3 linked regions of the Macaca mulatta genome follow. The protein of the gene in region 3 interacts with the protein of the main gene of each other region in a pairwise test. Links are inferred from orthologs where the notes say so. Each region holds a gene or a part of one and is shown on either strand. Other genes may lie near its edges. The genes, in order: E2F1, APBB1IP and NDN.

Evidence for each region.
Region 1: the proteins of NDN (region 3) and E2F1 interact in a two-hybrid assay, tested with the Homo sapiens proteins (2 studies listed by BioGRID). The link is inferred for Macaca mulatta from reciprocal best matches to the Homo sapiens genes NDN and E2F1.
Region 2: the proteins of NDN (region 3) and APBB1IP interact in a two-hybrid assay, tested with the Homo sapiens proteins (2 studies listed by BioGRID and IntAct). The link is inferred for Macaca mulatta from reciprocal best matches to the Homo sapiens genes NDN and APBB1IP.

Annotation. Positions count from the first base shown.
Region 1 is NC_133415.1:86,457,645-86,461,371, reverse strand, and holds the start of E2F1 (transcription factor E2F1), read left to right. Parts: upstream 1-900; 5' UTR 901-1,274; coding exon 1,275-1,535; intron 1,536-3,727. UniProt on the Homo sapiens protein: Transcription activator that binds DNA cooperatively with DP proteins through the E2 recognition site, 5'-TTTC[CG]CGC-3' found in the promoter region of a number of genes whose products are involved in cell cycle regulation or in DNA replication.
Region 2 is NC_133414.1:27,928,319-27,931,968, reverse strand, and holds part of APBB1IP (amyloid beta A4 precursor protein-binding family B member 1-interacting protein), read right to left. Parts: intron 684-3,650; coding exon 391-683; intron 1-390. UniProt on the Homo sapiens protein: Appears to function in the signal transduction from Ras activation to actin cytoskeletal remodeling. Suppresses insulin-induced promoter activities through AP1 and SRE. Mediates Rap1-induced adhesion.
Region 3 is NC_133412.1:6,264,458-6,268,207, forward strand, and holds NDN (necdin), read left to right. Parts: upstream 1-1,343; 5' UTR 1,344-1,457; coding exon 1,458-2,423; 3' UTR 2,424-3,264; downstream 3,265-3,750. UniProt on the Homo sapiens protein: Growth suppressor that facilitates the entry of the cell into cell cycle arrest.

The sequences.
Region 1 (3,727 bases), on a different chromosome or scaffold from region 3:
GGCAATAGAGGAAGCGAGTAAATCCTTGGGAGGGCTCCCCAGAAGTGATGTGTTTTGTTTTTGCGACAGGATCTCGCTCTGTCACCCAAGCTGGAGTGCAGTAGCATGATCATAGCTCACTGCAGACTCGACTTCTCGGGCTCAAGCAATCCTCCCAGCTCAGCCTCCCAAGTAGCTGGGACTACAGGCACGCGCCACCATGCCTGGCTAATTTTTGTATTTTTTGTAGAGACGGGTTTTCACCATGTTGCTCAGGCTGGTCTCAAACTCCTGGACTCAAGCGATCCACCCCGCCCTCTGATTACAGGGATTCCAGGCGTGAACCACCGCGCCCAGACGACGCTTCATGTTATTGTAAACGTTTGTTACCTTTCTGTTCCCGTCTACTAGACTGTGAGCTCCTCAGGGCCACGAGTTAAGGATGGGGCAGATTTAAGGATGAGGCACAGAGCAGGCTCTTCAAACGTTTGTTGAATGAGTGAGGGAATGAATGAGTTCAGGCCGACGCTTTACGTTGGCTGTTGGAGATTTTGGCTAAAATGGGACTTGCAGGAAAGCTTGACGTCCCCCCGCCATTTCTAGCCACCGCTCTTCAGCTTGGGCTCTGGGTGAGCGGGATAGGGCCGGGTGCAGGATTAGGATAATGTCATGGGTGAGGCAAGTTGAGGATGGAAGAGGTGGCTGATGGCTGGGCTGTGGAACTGATGATCCCGAAAAAAAGAGGGGGCAGTCTCTGGAAATCTAAGCTGAGGCTGTGGAAGGCTACAGGTTGAGGGTCACGTGCAGAACAGAGGCTCTGTTCTGAACCTGCACTATAGAAAGGGCAGTGGGATGCGGGAGCATCGGGGCGGGGCAGGGCGGGGCCCGTGTTCCCGTGTCCCCACGCCTCCAACAGGGGACGCCCGGGCTGGGGGCGGAGAGTCAGACCGCGCCTGGCACCATCCGGACAAAGCCTGCGCGCGCCCCGCCCCGTCATTGGCCGTACCGCCCCGCGCCGCCGCCCCATCCCGCCCCTCGCCGCCGGGTCCGGCGCGCTAAAGCCAATAGGAGCCGCCGCCGTCGTTCTCGTCACGGCCCGGGCAGCCAATTGTGGCGGCGCTCGGCGGCTCGTGGCTCTTTCGCGGCAAAAAGGATTTGGCGCGTAAAAGTGGCCGGGACTTTGCAGGCAGCGGCGGCCGGGGGCGGAGCGGGATCGAGCCCTCGCCGGGGCCTGCCGCCATGGGCCCGCGCCGCCGCCGCCGCCTGTCACCTGGGCCGCGCGGGCCGTGAGCGTCATGGCCTTGGCCGGGGCCCCTGCGGGCGGCCCATGCGCGCCGGCGCTGGAGGCCCTGCTCGGGGCCGGCGCGCTGCGGCTGCTCGACTCCTCGCAGATCGTCATCATCTCTGCCGCGCAGGACGCCAGCGCCCCGCCGGCTCCCACCGGCCCCGCGGCGCCAGCCGCCGGCCCCTGCGACCCTGACCTGCTGCTCTTCGCCACACCGCAGGCGCCCCGGCCCACACCCAGTGCGCCGCGCCCCGCGCTCGGCCGCCCGCCGGTACGGACCCCAGGGACGACGCGCCGACAGCGCCTCCTGTGCCCCCCGCGCAGACCCGGGAGGGCGCCGTGTTTGGCCTGAAGGCGGCAGGGGGCGGGGGAGGGGTTGACTGAGGCGCCCAGGCTGGGCGGTGCAGAGCCGGGGTTGGGCCTGCGGGCCCCGCCCTGGGGTGCGGGGTGACCTCGGGCCGGTCCCTGTTTGCTCCTCTGTGCTCTGGGCCTCAGCTTCCTCACTGGAGGCTCCGCAGCGTCAGACTCAGTGATAATAATAACCCACGTGTATTCAACTGGCGTTTACTGCATGCCAGGCCTTCGGCCGACTTCAAGTCAGCTAAAACTCACAACCCCGCTGTGAGCTGTGTTGTCACTGTGCCCATCTGACGGAGGAAGAACTGAGGCCCAGAGAGGGGAAGTGACTTGCCCCTGGTCATACGGCTGCAGGTGGTGGGGCTGGGATTTGAACTGAGGCCTGCTGGCTTCAGCTCAGAATTTGCATCTCGGTAGTGAGCACAGCTGCTAGGGGAAGTGAAGGCGGGGCGGAGGAAGGTCCTGGGGCCTAACCGTTGGTGAGCCATTGAGGAGACCCTCCTTCTGCCTCGATGCTGACTGCCAGGTGCAGGCCTGGCTGGCCAGGCCTCTGGGGACAGCCCTCCTGGCTGGGAGGCCTTCTCTGCAGGGGCGGGGCAGCTGGACCAGCTGCAGGTCCCCTCCCTCTGCCTGTCCTTCCATCTGCCACCCTCCACCCTCCCAGGCCCTGGTTGCCATGGAACCTCATTAATCAGGCAGGCCGACCCCTGAGTCTCTGTAGAAGGACTAGGTGGGCTGGGCCTCTGGGAGCTGGAGAGGCCCCCAGTGCCAGGAGAGAAAATGTCCCAGGGAGATCCTTTAATAAAGTCCTCCCTGATCGCTGAGCTCAAGACCTGTTCAGACTGGGGGGCCCAGAAGAGGCGGCTGAATTACAGTGGGAGAAGGGATTGGAGGTGTAGAGCTGGGACCTGTGGGGCGCAGGGCAGGGTGTGGAGACCAGTTTGACTGGCGCAGCCTATGGGTGAAGGTGGGGCTCTGGTGTGCAGGCGGGGCCTGGCCAGGCTGGATGGGGTCTCAGCAGGGAGCTTGAAGCAAGTGGGAGGGGTGAGGCAGGACTCAGGACAAGGAGGTAGAAGCTGCCTAACTGCTGATGGGGGTGTGGGTGGCAGCTGGTCCCTGAGGCATCCTGAGGAGGCTCCCCCAACCCCCTTGGCCCCATGCCCAATGCTGCCTTCCGGAATCACCACAATGCTAATAATAATAACAATAGCAGCCACCATTGTTTTGAGGATGTCTTGTGTGCCAGGCTCTGTGCCAAGCACTTTACCTAATTAACTCATTTAACCCTATCAGCAGCAGTCCCTTTTTACAGATTGGGAAGCTGAGGCCTAGAGATGTTAGAATCTTCCCATGTCATTCTGCTCTTGAGTGGGGAGACCAGTCTGCATTTTCTGTGAGGTTGACCTCTGGGACGCCTTGCTTCCTAGAGATGCTGATAGAGGTTGGAGAAAGGGCAGGAAGGGCTTTTAGGGGCCCTTCCTCTTAATGAGTGGGTGGGAGGGGTTTGTACCAGGGGTGGACCAGGTGGCCTGTCTCCTGTACTCCAGGGACCTGTCCCTGTGGGTACCGCTTGGGACCTGGGCAAGCATCTTCCATTCAGTTGTGTGACAAGCATATAGCAGGCTCAGGTCTGCAGAAACCTAACAGAACCCGAGGGTCTTGTCCTCAAGTAACTGAACAGGATTATGGGTTCTAGGATCAAAGGGAGGGACAGGGGCAAAGAAAAATGCCCTCCGCGCCACCTGTCAGGGGCAGGCTCATTGGCTTGGGCACTGCATTCATTCAACGGTTGTTGAATTAGTGAATGCCCAGGAGGCACTAGGCACAGAGACAAGGAGCCCCGGCTCCCAGAATACGTAAGGGCCAGGAGGCTAGCACCATTCTGGAGCTGAAGTCCAGAAAGTCCACAGGTTCGGCTTTTGGCCTCTCTGCACTGGCATTTGTCTGGGGCAGTCCTTGAAATAAGCTACAGGCTTAGCTTCTATACTAGCAGGCATTCGTTGAACACCTGTATATAACGCTCTGTGCGATTTGGCCATTCCTCTTGGCCCTGCCTGTCCACTTCCACAAACTCAAGTATTATAACTATAATACGTGTTTACTATG
Region 2 (3,650 bases), on a different chromosome or scaffold from region 3:
CAGAAAATGTATAATGAATGCCGTCCAATCTCTATGTACTGAGCTAGGAGCAGGGACATGGAAATATACAATCAGTTCCACATTTCAATATGATATTAATAAAACATGTCCCCAAAAGACTGAGTTTTATCAAAGAGTGTTTGCATACAAATATTTTTTAAGCAAACTATAGTAAATCCTGAATATGACCCTAATACATTCTTGATATACACCCATGTGGCTTGTTTACGCAGTGTTCTAGCTTTGCAACGAGCATGCTCTGTATCTTGGTTTTTTAGTATGTCAGATCTTTGGATGCACAAACTTTGGAATGTAATGATCACTTCAGAGAACATCAGTGATAGGTAGCAGAGGCTGATGGCCCTGCCGACTCTGGTCCCACGCACTTACCTGAGAGAGAGGTTCAGGAGGTGGTGGCGGCAGTGGAAGGTCTAACACAGGATCAGCTGGTGGAGGTGGTAAGTCATCCTCATATTGGCTGATACCAGTGGCAGCAACATTTGTTCCATGACCAAGAGGGGCTGCACCACTAAAATTTGATGCCTGTAGAGATGCTGAATGATATTGATTCTGCGAGGACTCTTTCTGTGCCTGGATTGTCCTCTGCTCAGCTTCACTGATGTCTGCTACCAGATCTGCCATGAGAGCCTCTAAGTCTTGGTCTTCCAGTGCATTTAAGGACTCTAGTAGGGAAAATCACATTAATGGTATAAAAAACTACTTGCATCTGGAAAAACAGAAAGAAGATAATTTTTAAGCATAATATTTGAGTAGAAAGGAATCCTTATTTTGATTGGTTATGATATAATGAGAAGATTGAGAATATTTTAATTCAATAGCACAAGTATAGGAATTCCTAAAGGACTGTTGCTGCATTTGTTGCATGGTTAATCCGAGTGAGCTTCTAATACCAAGAAAATAAATGGAGGAAATGTGTTCTCTACACTGGGGCACCTGACACACCAGCTATAAAGTCAAATCCAAGCCCACGAATAGATGCTTAAGTAGGAAATCCTTGCATATTATAGTGTAAGATCTCAGAGTTTTAGAAAAGTAGGGGAGGGGAGAGCATTGGAAATGGATGGAAGGGGAGTTTTCCCTAAGCATTTGGAGGGCAAATAGAGTACTGCTGCTATTTAGAAGAAACTGGATTTCAAGCAACTGGGGTTTAATGTGCCTGTTACTTTGGGGTGAAGATGGAGCTTCTATAGGCTCACCACCTAACTGTAGAAAACTTCACATTCGGAGAAAGAGCAATTTTTTAAAAATTTTTATTTATTTATTTATTTGGGACAGAGTCTCACTCTATTGCCCAGGCCGGAGTGCCATAGTGTGATCTCGGTTCACTGCAATCTCTGCCTCCCAGGCTCAAGCGATCTTCCCAATTCAGCCTCCCAAGCAGCTGGGATTACAGGTGCATGTCACCAGGTCCAGCTAATTTTTGTATTTTGTGTAGAGACAGGGTTTCGCCATGTTGCCCAGACTGGTCTCAAACTCCTGGGCTAAAGCCATCTTCCCACCTCAGCCTCCCAAAGTGCTGGGATTACAGGCAAGAGCCACTGTGCCCAGCCAAGAGCAATTAATGATAAATAGCAGAAATTAAAGCACCATAGGTGGCAAGGAATTAAAAAATTATGGGATTAAATGGTAGAAACTTAATGAAGATAGTAAGCTGGGAGTTAACTTTTAAAAGACAGGAAAGACAAAAATTTTCAGAGTGAGAGGGAGGGAGGGGAGATCACCTTAGGATTTCTTCCATGTGTGGGATTACTATGGTAATCTGTGTGATCCTGAACATTGATTAGATCATGTGGTGTAGTGGAGGTGGTGTCAGTGAGTAGTCCTGGTGGAGTACTTTGATGATCAGGCATATATGATATGGTGAATATAATGAACAAAGGATGGGCAGGAAGGAAGTGATCCATGAGGAGAATTCTAGCTGCTATAGGTATGATGAACCAGACTGAGGAAATGGGAGCAGCCGGAATGAAGCCTATTCAGTAACAAATAAGCTTTGTGAAAGGATACATTGTCAGACATCATCATCATAAACGCCACACAGCATATTACAGTAATGCTAGTAGTGCTAGTTTACAGTACTGGGACTAAAGTTTGGTGTTCCTCAATGTGTTAAAAGAGTTTATTTTGGCCGGGCGCGGTGGCTCAAGCCTGTAATCCCAGCACTTTGGGAGGCCGAGACGGGCGGACCACGAGGTCAGGAGATTGAGACCATCCTGGCTAACACGGTGAAACCCCGTCTCTACTAAAAATACAAAAAAAAAAAAAAAAAAAAATACAAAAAAAAGAGTTTATTTTACTGTAAATCACTTTTATATACAACTTCTTTTTTTTTTTTTTTTGAGACAGAGTCTCGCTTTGTCACCCAGGCTGGAGTGCAGTGGCATGATCTCAGCTCATTGCAACCTCTGCCTCTTGGGTTCAAGCAATTCTCCTGCCTCAGCCTCCCGAGCAGCTGGGATTACAGGTGTGCACCACCTTGCCTCGATAATTTTTGTATTTTTAGTAGAGACAGGGTTTTGCCATGTTGACCAGGCTGGTCTCGAACTCCTGGCCTCAAGTGATCCCCTTGCCTCAGCCTCCTGAAGTGCTAAGATTACAGGTGAGAGCTATCAGGCCCAGCTTATATATAATTTCTTTATAAAATCAAGTTAAATTAATTTAAAATGTTTTCAGAGAAAATATATATAGAACTAAAGAAGCATATTTATAATTTTCTAATGTAATCAATCACATTGTGACTGTTGACATATAAACCTTTACTCTATTATAAAAATTTTGGGGACAAAACCTCCATAATAATATTTATATTAGTAATTTCCAAAGCAAATTTAATAAATTGAATTATTATATTAGTTATTAATAGATTTTTAATATATTAAAGATTTCTAAATTTATCAATAGAGATGAAATGTTTTAATAAAGATTAGCTAAATTTGTGAATATAGAATTGAGTAATATGGAATTGGGGAATGGGATAGAAATAGATTTTATTCTGAAATTAGTCACTGACTCTCTGAATGACTTTGGGCAATTATTTTTTTTTTTAAACAGGCTTTTGTTCTGTTGCCCAGGCTGCAGTGCAGTGGTAGGATCATAGCTCACTGTAGCCTCGACCTCATGGGTTCAAGCAATCCTCCCATCTCAGCCTCCCAAGTAGCTGGGACTACAGGCACATACGAGCATGCCTGGCTAATTTTTAAATTTTTTTAGAGACAGTCGTCTCACTATGTTGCCCAGACTTGTCTCAAACTCCTGGGATTAAGTGATCCTCCTGTGTTGGCCTCCCAAAGTGATGGAATTACAAGCATGATTACAGGCTCGCACCCAGCCTGGGCAAAATATTTTGAACTCATTTTAGCAGTGTTTTAAAGTGAAGACAAAACAAATCTATTCTTAATCTAATTCCATACAAATTTAATTTTCCATACATAGCAGTAGTTTTTAATTGTCTTGTCCCGTATCCAAATTAGACCACATGTGTACATCTTGTTTCCTTAATGAGAATAGTGTCTTATTACTGTGATGTAACATCACTGTGTTTATATCTTGCTGGGTGTCTGGGTATCATTGCTCCTATCATTGTCAGTGTTGTGATACCAGGCACTGAGTTAGTGCTTAGAAAGCGTCAG
Region 3 (3,750 bases):
AGCTAAAGAGCCTGTTGGAAGGACTGGTGTGGGAATGGCTCTGCCAAAAGTGTTATGTGCATGCAAACCCAAAGAGAGAGAGCACAGAAAACCCTTCAACATCAACCTGCTTGAGGAAAAATAAAGTGACAAGTGGGAAAAGATACATACTCACAGCGAGGACTCTAGACATGTTAAGACAATTTTTAAATGTGCTTTTGGCTTCGAGTGGCAATAATTAGACTCAACATATTTAAGAAGCTACTGATGAGAAGAAACGCTGGAAGCGCTGAAGGACCACATCAGCCCAGACCAAGGATGCTGAAGCAGCATCAAGGCCCTTGGTTTCAGAGGCTCCACCAATGACCCTTTTTTCAGGGAGACCCTGTAGGAGCGAGTTTTGTCTTTGCCCAGTGGGAATCTGTCTTCTATACTTAGAAAACAGGGTTACCCATGTTGCCCCTGCTACCCTTGGGTCATCTCAGAGACACTACCAGATATTACCTATGAGACCTAGTTGTTTTTTTTTAAATCTCAGGAAGGACTTGGGTGTGGCTTCCAACGTGGAGGACTCAGTAGCTTCAGAGAGGGTCCTGGGAGAAGGTGAATCGGAGAATAAGGGTGCTGGGCAGAGGGAAAAAGACATTATTATACAAGTTTGTGCTAAAAGATATAGCAATCCTTCTGCTGTGGACTAAGTATGGAAAAAAATAAAATGGAATCAAAGTGACCCAAAGGAAATGTAAAACTCAAATTTATGCCCACTAAAGCATTAATGATGCTCTAAGTCCGCTGCCTACTTAAAAGGTTCATAGTTCACATGGGTTGACAGGAAATTACGTTAAGGACACGCTGCATTTCTCCTTTTCTTACAACCCCTCTGATTTGGTAGGGAGGGAGTCAATCATTTTTTTATTGGAATTTCTCAGGATTCCAACTTCAGACATACACTTTACACATTTTCTTGGACAAGCCCGACTGTTCCTCTCACTCGTTCGCATAAAGCTCAAGTTTACACAGCCGCCCAGACCTTTCTCTGGGACGCTCATATTTAACTTAATTCTGGATATATCAGGTAAGCGTTTCCCAAGAAACTTGACCCCAACATCCCAAAAACTTAAGTTATCATCTTTCTCCTAAACTGGCCCCTTCTCCAGTACGCATCCATCGCACTCTTCTCCTGCCCTAGATCCCCTCAGCCCAAACGGGAAACCCCGGGATCGCTCTCTCCGCAGGTGAAGCTTAGCCAGGGACCCTCCCCGTCGGGGCTCCGCGCTGCCCCGCCCGCCCCCAGCCGCTGGCCAAGGCCGCAGTCGCGCAGGCGCAGTGCCGCGTCCCGCCGCCGCCCCGCCCTGCCCGCCGCTGCGGAAGGCGCCGCGCACAGCAACGCGCACTTCCTCTCCAGGAATCCGCGGAGGGAGCGCAGGCTTGAAGAGCTCCTGGACGCAGAGGCCCTGCCCTTGCCAGACGGCGCAGATATGTCAGAACAAAGTAAGGATCTAAGCGACCCTAACTTTGCAGCCGAGGCCCCCAGCTCCGAGGTGCACAGCAGCCCTGGGGTTCCGGAGGGGGTTCCTCCGTCCGAGACCCTGGCAGAGCCGCAGAGCCCTCCTTTAGGCCCGACGGCCGCCCCGCAGGCCGCGCAGCCTCCCCAGGCCCCGAGCGACGAGGACGACCCGAAGGCCCTGCAGCAGGCCGCGGAGGAGGGCCGCGCCCACCAGGCCCCGAGCGCGGCCCAGCCCGGCCCGGCCCCGCCAGCCCCGGCGCAGCTGGTGCAGAAGGCGCACGAGCTCATGTGGTACGTGCTGGTCAAGGACCAGAAGAAGATGATCATCTGGTTTCCAGACATGGTGAAAGATGTCATCGGCAGCTACAAGAAGTGGTGCAGGAGCATCCTCCGGCGCACCAGCCTCATCCTCGCCCGGGTGTTCGGGCTGCACCTGAGGCTAACCAGCCTGCACACCATGGAGTTTGCGCTGGTCAAAGCGCTGGAGCCCGAGGAGCTGGACAGGGTGGCGCTGAGCAACCGCATGCCCATGACAGGTCTCCTCCTCATGATCCTGAGCCTCATCTACGTGAAGGGCCGCGGCGCCAGAGAGAGCGCGGTCTGGAACGTGCTCCGCATCCTGGGGCTGCGGCCCTGGAAGAAGCACTCCACCTTCGGGGACGTGCGGAAGCTCATCACTGAGGAGTTCGTCCAGCAGAATTACCTGAAGTACCAGCGCGTCCCGTACGTGGAGCCGCCCGAGTACGAGTTCTTCTGGGGCTCCCGGGCCAGCCGCGAAATCACCAAGCTGCAAATCATGGAGTTCCTGGCCAGGGTCTTTAAGAAAGACCCCCAGGCCTGGCCCTCCCGATACAGAGAGGCTCTGGAGGAGGCCAGAGCTCTGCGGGAGGCTAATCCCGCTGCCCACTGCCCTCGCAGCAGTGTCTCCGAGGACTAGCCAAGTCTGGAGGCAGATGAATGCTTTCTGATCCTCACCAGGGCTGTGGAAGGGTGGGGGTGGGTCATTAGAGTGTTCAGGATTTACAGTGCAGTATTCACGTGTAACTTTTACGTTTTCAGTACAGTGCTTTTATACCTTTAATGCAATGTTGTGTTCATTTGGGTACTATTGTGTAGTATTTAGGATGTATGCATGTTTGTTTATATGTAAGCTTGGTTGGTGCTTTCGCTTTTGTGGTACCTTTCTTGGATTTTTGTATCAGAGACGTGCTAAACTGATGAAGTACATTGAGAACGTTTCCATCTTATTAATTTACATGGGACTGAGATGTGTGTTGGGGTAGACTGCTCCTGCAGAGTTTGGAAAAACTCACCAGCAAAGCCGGCCTAACCAAGAAATGTCAAGGCCCTCATGACCTTGCTGGGGACTGAAAACATCCTCGTGGAGTAAACTAATTTGAACTGGACTGGTCTCAATGTGAGAGCACTTGGCACACTTTACTAAACACATATACAACCCCACCGTGAGTCAACTTTAAAGTAAACATTAAAGATTCTTGTGATACAATCATTTCTGGAAGTGTACGTTATCATTTTAACAAAGCAGTATGGTTGGGAATGAGACAATTCTCTGTTTTACAGTATACACAGATATAACTATTTCCCCTAATGGGGTGGGAAAAATCGCTACTCATGATTACTCCTAAATTTGTGAAGTTTGTAGTTTTGTCTTTAACTCATGTTTATTTCAAAAACATGCACAAATATAGAAAAGCATAAAAAACAAAACAGTAAGATTGTCCATAATCACATCCTATGGGAATAAAAACCAAAAATAATTTCCTTCCCTTAAGTTTCTACATTTTATCAAAATTAATAGATGCTTTGTGGGCACTTAAAGAGTGAGACATTGTACATGAGCCCTGACGTGTATTTTTCTCCTTTTATCTAATCCTCACAACAGGCCTGTCAGGCAGGCAAGAACTGCCTCTGCACCATGGAGGAAACACAGGAATAATGTAGGTAATGGACTTTCCATAGCTCATACAGGTTAATAAGAGAAGGCGCTAGGACTAGAACTCACAATGAATCCAGAGTCCACATTTGTCCCCACCTGCCTTCAACTCCCCTACACCCTGTGGTTTTTAGGTTATTTATTTTTAACTTTATATTGAAATTTCATGTGGGAGCCCACACTCACATGGGTTCATGGGCCACACATACAAAAAGGCTAGGAATTTTATTTTTCTAATTCTTAGGATATTTTGGAGAAAGCAATATCATTCTGATTCTGCAAATTAAGAAACTTACTTTTGGAGAGATTA